Linked DNA regions of Canis lupus familiaris. The protein of the gene in region 1 binds, or shares a complex with, the protein of each later gene. Links are inferred from orthologs where the notes say so. Each region holds a gene or a part of one and is shown on either strand. Other genes may lie near its edges. The genes, in order: FAM98B and ZBTB8OS.

Region 1 (3,817 bases):
AAACATTTATATTTGATAACTTCAGTTTTTCCCTTCCCCCAGCCCCTGAAAACCACCATTCTCCTCTGTGCTTTGTGAGTTTGACTGTGTTAGGCTCCTCATAAAAGTGATATCACATAGTATTTGGCCTTCTGTGTTTGGCTTATTTTACTTTGCATAATGTCTTCCAGGTGCATCCATGTAGTCACGGCTGGGTTTCCTTTTTTAAGGCGGAATAATACTCCATTGTGTGTATATACCACATTTTCTTCATCTGTTGAAGGGCACTATGTCCTACTACAAAGGGATAGCAGTGCAAATCTCTTTGAAATCCTGATTTCAAGTCCTTTGGATATATACCTAAAAGTGGATTTTTAAGTTCTTTTATATTTTAACAGTATATTTTTCCCTTTTTTATCATAGTATTTTTAAGTACAGAGCTTCAAGCTTCACAGATACTGCAGAATAAGAAACGTAAAAATTCTCAATTAGATAAAAACAGTGAAATTTATCAAGAAGTTCAAGCTATCTGTGATACTCTTGGTGTACCCAAGTCAGCAACTTCTGACATTCCGCTTATGCTAAACCAAGTGGAATCAAAGGTACTGTATTTATTTTTTTTGTTTCCTCAAAATGGAATTAAATACTAACATATAAATAAATATTGTATTAAAAATGAAAATATTTCCTTTAAGGTACGTTCCATTTCAAGAGAACTTTATCTTCTGTTAACTAAATTTTGGATTTTGAATTAATATGCATGTGACTTAATTTGCCTATAGCTAATGTTCAGGAATCTGATCTTAATGAGTGAGGGCCCTTAGACTTTTTTGAGTTTTCTTTGATAGAAATCACTTTGCAAGTTAAAGGATCCCTTTCCTAAATAAAGTTCTACTGTAGTATAATGAAAGAAGTAGAGTAATCTTCAAAGTCAAAGGCAAACTATATTTTTTAAAAAAGAATATTGTTAAAAAAAAAGAATATTGTTAATAGAATTGTAATATGGCTGTCTTTGGCAGTGAGCAAGCACAGTTTCTAGTGGATAGGTGTTTAGTAAGTGTTCGTTGTTTAGAGATTGAATGAATGAGTACCCTGCTGTAGTTAGAAACAACCACAAACTATAAACTTTTTGAAATTTTCTCTTTAGTTCTTAAACTACCCTTCTTGACTGTTGAGCCACTAATAAATTAGAGAGAATGCTACTCTTGCACACCAAATTCAGCCTGGTTCCTAGGAGTCCTCTAGGAGAATAATACAGGATTCATTTTAAAGGAAAACATTCTTGCTCTTAAGAATATGTACTAAAAGCCATTTTTAGACATGCTGTGTTATACAAAATCCTTAAATAAAATACTTGTGCTTTGATAATTTATGAACTGAAAAATAAAAAGCTTTGTCTTCATTGAACATAAGAGAATTTTGGTATCATTAAAATGAAAACACAGTTTAAAAAACATTTTTTCTTTTTGTGGAACCTGCAGACCAAAGAAAAATTCTGTGAATTGCCCAAAAACATTGTTCTGGAATTAACAAGTTTCTCTTCAGTACTTATTTTCTCTTTTTGTCTGGATTAAGAATGATCTGGGATTGGCTAAATTGTCTGGGGTAATTTCAAATTAAGACAGATTTCTAGGCTCTTTCTAATCTTCCAGTGCTTCTATATATTGATCCTAAAGAGGCTTTTCCTTTTTATGGGTCTCAGTATTAAAAATATCTCCAAACCTCTGGTTTGCCTACCTGAAGTAGGCCATAATGCCTGTGTTCAAATGCTGGCAGGTTAATTATAAGATAGTTGTTACTATGGTCATTGTGGCCAAATACTTACCTAAAAAGGTTTTTTTTCTCCCCTCAGTTCCTATCAAAAGGAGAAATTTCCTTATTGTACATGTGATGTGTTCAGAATACACTTTGTCATCATTTGGGAAGAAAATTATTTTTTAACTTGAAGGTGTTCAAATGTGAATCTAATGTAATTATAGTAATATTAGTGGCAGAAATATGGTATTTGCTGTTCTAAATATTTATATGTAATAACTTTTAATTCTTCCATCATATATATTTATGTATGATTAGGTAGTTACTACTATTATCTTCAACAGACATATGAGGAGACTGAGGTACTGAAAGATTTAATAAATGGGACAAGTATGTTTTGGAGTAGTAGTGGTAGACTTGAGATTTGAATATAGGCAACCTCCAGAGTGTGTGCCTTTAGCCCTCTCTATTTGAGTTTAATTCTCAAACTTACTAAAACTTGTCCAATGTTGAAATCCTGGGAATGGAGCTGGATGTGATTATGTGTAAGAAACTGTAAGTATGCCTTCAGAATCCTTCTTGAGTGAGGGGTTACAACTCATACTTTTAGTAATATATGAAATGATCAAAGTTGGAGGTATGTACAATAGTTGGGAAATCTACAGAAATTGAATATCTTAAAATAATAACAATATGTGAGAATTGTATCATTGTTGAACAGGCTGACTTGGCCACGAAACTAATAAAACTTAAGCTTTGGGCCACTCATTTGCAGGAGTTCTTTCCAAGCTAATTAAAAAAAAAAAAATACAGCTTTCTGAAGATAGAGTTCACATATCATAAAATTCACACACAAAATAGATAAATTTTAGTATTTTTAAATTATATTTAGTATATTTAGAGAGTACAGCCATCATCCAAATTGAATTTTAGAACATTTCCATCACCCTCAAAAGAAACCTTATGCTCATTTATAGTCACTCACCATCACCACCACCAGTTTCTAAGCTAATTTTGTGGTCAGTTTTTTGTTTTTTTTTTTTTTAAGATTTTATTTATTTATTCATGAGAGACACAGAGGAAGAGGCAGAGACACAGGTAGGGGGAGAAGCAGGCTCCCTGCGGGGAGCTGCATGTGGGACTCGATCCTGGGATCATGCCCTGGGCCAAAGGCAGACGCTTAACCGCTGAGCCACCCAGGCGTCCCTGTGGTCACAATTTTTAATTCTTAAAGAGTGCTCCTGACATTAAATAAGCTTCATGTTCCTCAAAAATCTCTTGATTATTTTCCCTAGTTACCTTATAACTAAGCAACTGTAGATAGGCCATTGGCCATTTGGCTTTGAAATTGCCTTTAGATAATCAAGTTACTTCTGTTAGGAGGGTGAGCCCAACTTAGGCTATCATTTCTCAGTCATTTTCTTCAGGATAAATTACTGTTATTGGAATGGCTGATATCGTGAAAGCAAAGACAAATGTCTAATATCTTTTTCACTAAAATAAAAGTGTTGGCAGTAATTCAAATTAGTGGCTTTGGAAAAGTAATGAAATGTGTATGTGGTGGCTATAATTTAGAGGGCTTGCTTTCCTGTTGTCTTGCTGAACAGTGGAATCAGAATGCTTAGAATTGGAATGTGTATAAGAGTGTGGATAAGAGTGTGCCATTTCAAGGAGAAATTCCCAAAATTATTTTACATAAGTCTGTACAGATTTTCATAGTAAAACCTTTCAGTAACTACTTTCTATACTCATCTGTGTACATTATTTCTTACTCTGGAAAAGGTGTGCTATAGTTTGAATTCATATAGCTAATGCTTCTTTGAAAAAGATACTCTTCATTGTGGTGATATTCTTTCCTGGTATGTGAAGTTATATTTCAGTTATTTCACTTTAACATTTAAAACAACATGTTAAGAAAGAATAAGATTATTTAATTAGATATATACATTTTCACAATCTTCTATATTTACTTTTAGGTGAAAGATATTCTCTCAAAAGTCCAGAAAAATCATGTGGGAAAACCACTGCTGAAAATTGATTTAAATCTGGAACAAGCGGTAAATTCTCTCCCTTTATTAGTTTT
Region 2 (4,429 bases), on another chromosome or scaffold:
ACCACCCCATCTTCAGTTCTTAGTTCTAAATATCCTAAGTATCTCTGTAAAACTGCTTTTAGCATAGGTTACTGTAATTATTAGTTTACATGGGCCTCAATTACACTTGTGCTCCTTGAAGGCAGGTACCATGTCATATACCTCTTTATATTAACCAGCTACTACCTACAATTCAAATATTTTGCTGAAAGAACTGAAATCATAGCTTTTTTTGAAAACTGACACATTTTACATTATTTTCCAACTGTAATTATAACAGGCTATTCAATTCGTTATCAGGAAAAGAAAACAAGTTTTCTCTTATCAGGTACATTGCAAAACTATTTTTACATTTTGTATTATTTTTTGGCCTAGGAAAAAAACATCACCCATAGGTTATCATTACGTGCCCTCTTCGGGTGACTGGGGGAAGACACGGAAAAATCAACGTGAGAAATCAACGCTGAGGAGGACACAAGATAACGTTCAAGAGATTCACATCACCTGGTTACATCTGGAAGCCACTGTGCAGTTAGGCTAGGCCACTCCAGAGCATGGGTCATCACCAAATCGTAAAGAAAAGGGGTGTTCTTTTTCCATATTTTGTACTCTTCGTTGATCACACGTTCCTCTACTGCGTCATCAAAGGCTGCTAAAAAGTTAAAAAACAAATTAAGTTAGCGAACACAAATGGAAACCGAGCCAACGCTTCCAAAGCTACCGGCACTGCTTATTAAGTCAAGATTCTGAAATGGAGCAGATATGTCTAAATGTCCCCGAGGCGGAGCGACCTGCACCCCTCCCCGCCTCGCGGGCCCGCAATTACTCTCGGGCTAGCGGGGCGCGTCACTCCCGTTAGCTGTTCGGGCGCCGGCGCCGGGCCTCGGGAGCACGCTCGCGTTCCCGCTGAATCGACGGAACCCGCGCGGAGGCCCGCGCACCGGCCCCCGGGGTAGGGAGCAGCGCACGCAGAACGCGAGAGGCGGGCAGGCCGACAGCGAGCGCGGGGAGGGCCCAAACACCCGCCGGGGCCCCCCCACCAGCTCCACACCGCGGCCACCGGCCTCCGTGTCGGAGGAACTGGCGCGCCGTTAGCCCGCCCGCGGGGCGATTTCTCCTCACGCCTTCGATGGTGGGGACAGCACTCAAGAGTCGGGCTTGCCTTCACTGCTAGGCCCTGTCGAGGCCGCGGCGCCAGCCCGGCACCCCCCGCCCTCCCGGGGCGGCCCTTACCTTCCTTGTCGGCCATGGCGGGCAGGCGAGCCGGGGGGATCCCGGGGTCGAGCGCTGCGGGAGGGGCGGGGAGGCTACAGGCGCTCGCTCTGCGCGCGCGGCCTCTATTGTTTCCTGCTGCCCCTGCGTGAGGGCCTACTCGCGCACCTTCGCGCCAACACCGGCCAATCGCAGCGTCCCGAACGGCGGGGTGGGCGGGGAAGCCGCGTTTGCAGCCTATCCAGACGCGCAGAGTCGCTTTCTGCGGTGCCGAGGTGCGCGCCCCTCCCCTGCCCCGACACGGCCGGGAGCCGACTTCCTACGATTGCGCGCGCGCGGACCCGGTGGGAGTGCGCGCGTCGGGTCACGTGAGAGGTTTAGTCCGCACTCTCCAGGGGGCAGCCATTTTCTTAAAAGCTGTGCAGCTCCCGACACTTTAAAAGTACTCAGATGAGAAATCTAGGGTGGCTTCGGGTGTAGTTATCGACTCTGTGAGGTAAAAAGAAAAGGCTTCTCACCACCCAGACAAGCGGGTATTTAGTTCTAAAGTGTCTCCCTCCTCCCACGTCCTCCAGTGTGTATGTTTCCTTTGTTCTTAGAACGGATGAAGAAACGCAGAAATAGGGCCGAAGCCTATTAAAGATGTGCTTCCGGCAGCGAGTCCTAGGACAGAAGTGTTAACCATATAAAGTCTATCTGCGAGAATGGGGTCCTGGTGCTTTAAGGGCGCGTGCCAAGGGGCGGAGTCTAGAGCGGAAGTTGTAAATCAGGGCTGAAGTCCAGCTAATGAAGGGCGGAAGTAGAGTGTCCAGTGCGGCAATTATGGCGCAGGAAGAGGAAGATATTCGAGATTACAATTTGACTGAAGAGCAGAAGGCGATCAAGGCCAAGTATCCTCCAGCCATTCGGAAGTACGAGTGTGAGTAGATGGCTCACTTCTCTCATGCCCTTTCGCCTTGCCCAGGTCTTCCGGTCTCGCCTTCCGCTTTGCCCCTGAGGTGCTTCAGCCGGGAGTGCTGAAGGGAACAGCCACCTGGCCTGAGAGTCAGAAAACTGGGCTGCCACTTTTATGGTTCCTTGAATTCTTTCTACATTTACCTAGTCCCATTACCTCGTGGGAATTTTACCAGTGTCTTCATTCTAAAGATAAACGTATTTTCAAGCATTTGCCGGGTGGTCGCCCGTATGTGTTTCCCAACAGTGGGGTGGTTAGAGTATCATTAGGTTAGAGGACTTAGCTGAGTAGGGGACATGTAATTTGGTGTTTTACCTGGATCGTGCTTTTAGTAAAAAGACCTGGTTTGGGGATGCCTGGGTGGCTCAGCGGTTGGGCGTCTGCCTTCAACCCAGGGCGTGATCCCGGGATTCGGGATTAAGCCCCGCCTCCGGCTCCTGCGAGGAGTCGCTTCTCTTCTGTGTCTCTCGTGAAGAAATAAATAAAATCTTTAAAAAAAAAAAAAAAAAAAAAAAGACCTGGTTTTGCCATGAACAGCTTCATAACTTGTGGCAAGTTATATAATCTCTCATGGCACCATAGTTCCTTAACTGGGGAGTAAATGAGATAATAGTAAACACAAAAGTATAGTACATATTCTGATCTTCTATTTAAACATTTAGCTATCATCCCTAAAGATTGCTATGGTTTGCGGAGCACAAATCTGACTTCTATTTTTCTACTCTAAAATCTTATTAATTTTCCATTGTTCTCTGTAGTTTATTTACTATGGCATACTAGGTTATGAATGAACCCTTTTATTTTTCTCATAAAAGCAAATTTTTAAAAAGATTTTATTTGGAACAGAAAGAGCACGTGGATGGGGAGAAGAGAATGGGGGAGGGGTAGATGGAGAGGGAGAAGCAGACTCCCCACTGAGCAGGAAGGCCTAGGCAAGCATGAGAGGACCCCTAGATCATGACTTGAGCCAAAGGCAGATGCCCCTTAACAACAATTTTTTAAAATTATTTTTATTTTTTAAAATTTTTTAAAGATTTATTTATTTATTTATGATGGACATAGAGAGAGAGAGAGAGAGGCAGAGATACAGGAGGAGGGAGAAGCAGGCTCCATGCCGGGAGCCTGACGCGGGACTCGATCCCGGGACTCCAGGATTGCGCCCTGGGCCAAAGGCAGGCGCCAAACCGCTGAGCCACCCAGGGATCCCCTAAAAATTATTTTTAATAAGGCTTGTATCTGATATATCTGAATAAAAAAGTACAACAGGTGGGATCCCTGTTCCGCATTCATTGTTTTGCACACGTACAGGTGTATCTATAAATTTACAGAAGTTAAACTGCTTTGTCAAAGGATATGTGCATTGTTAATCTTTTTTTTTTAAGATTTTATTTATTTATTCATAGAGACACAGAGAGAGAATGAGAGGCAGCAGAGACACAGGCAGAGGGAGAAGCAGGCTCCATGCAGAGAGCCTGACTTGGGACTCGATCCAGGGTCTCCAGGATCACACCCTGGGCTGCAGGCGGCGCTAAACCGCTGCGCCACCAGGGCTGCCCTGCATTGTTAATCTTAGCAGTTATTGCTAAATTGATCTCCAATGAGGTTGTGCCAGTTTATACTCTGACTAGCATTGTATGAGTGTGCCTCTTTCCGCACATTTCTACCTATTTGCTGCATAACCATACTTTTGGGTCTCTTCCCTTTTTTTTTTTTTAAGATTTATTTATTTACTTATTTATGATAGACATAGAGAAAGAGAGAGAGAGGCAGAGATACAGGAGGAGGGAGAAGCAGGCTCCATGCCAGGAGCCCGACATGGGACTCGATCCCGGAACTCCAGGATCACGCTCTGGGCCAAAGGCAGGCACTAAACCGCTGAACCACCCAGGGATCCCCTTTTGGGTCTCTTCCAATTTAAATATCTTGTCATATTAGTTGCTTTCTTTTTATTATAAGTGAGGTTGAACATATTTCCGTATGTGTGGAGCTATTTGTATGTGCCCTTCTAGGATGTGTATGTTCATATTCTTAACCCATTTTTCTGTTGGGTTTTTTGTTTTGTTTTTTACTTTGTAGAAATTTAGTTTTACATAGTGAAATTTATTAACCCTTTAAAGGCTTCTGGGAATTTATACTTAGGAAGGCGTTGCCCACTCTGATATAAAATAACTCTCCTGTTTTCTTGTAGTACATTTGGAAAAGAAGAGGTTTTTTTTTGCTTTTTTTTTTTTTTTTTAAGATTTTATTTATTTATTCATGATAGTCACACAGAGAGAGACAGAG

The links.
Region 2: FAM98B (region 1) and ZBTB8OS share a complex: the UniProt entries of both Homo sapiens proteins name them as parts of the tRNA-splicing ligase complex. The link is inferred for Canis lupus familiaris from reciprocal best matches to the Homo sapiens genes FAM98B and ZBTB8OS.

What each region holds. Positions count from the first base shown.
Region 1 is NC_049251.1:6,097,084-6,100,900, forward strand, and holds part of FAM98B (protein FAM98B), read left to right. Parts: intron 1-402; coding exon 403-581; intron 582-3,710; coding exon 3,711-3,791; intron 3,792-3,817. UniProt on the Homo sapiens protein: Positively stimulates PRMT1-induced protein arginine dimethylated arginine methylation.
Region 2 is NC_049223.1:68,053,190-68,057,618, forward strand, and holds the start of ZBTB8OS (protein archease), read left to right. Parts: upstream 1-1,351; 5' UTR 1,352-1,466; intron 1,467-1,526; exon of another isoform or gene 1,527-1,790; 5' UTR 1,791-1,977; coding exon 1,978-2,110; intron 2,111-4,429. Other genes in the region: histone-binding protein RBBP4, read right to left, coding at 484-631, 1,213-1,228. UniProt on the Homo sapiens protein: Component of the tRNA-splicing ligase complex required to facilitate the enzymatic turnover of catalytic subunit RTCB. Together with DDX1, acts by facilitating the guanylylation of RTCB, a key intermediate step in tRNA ligation.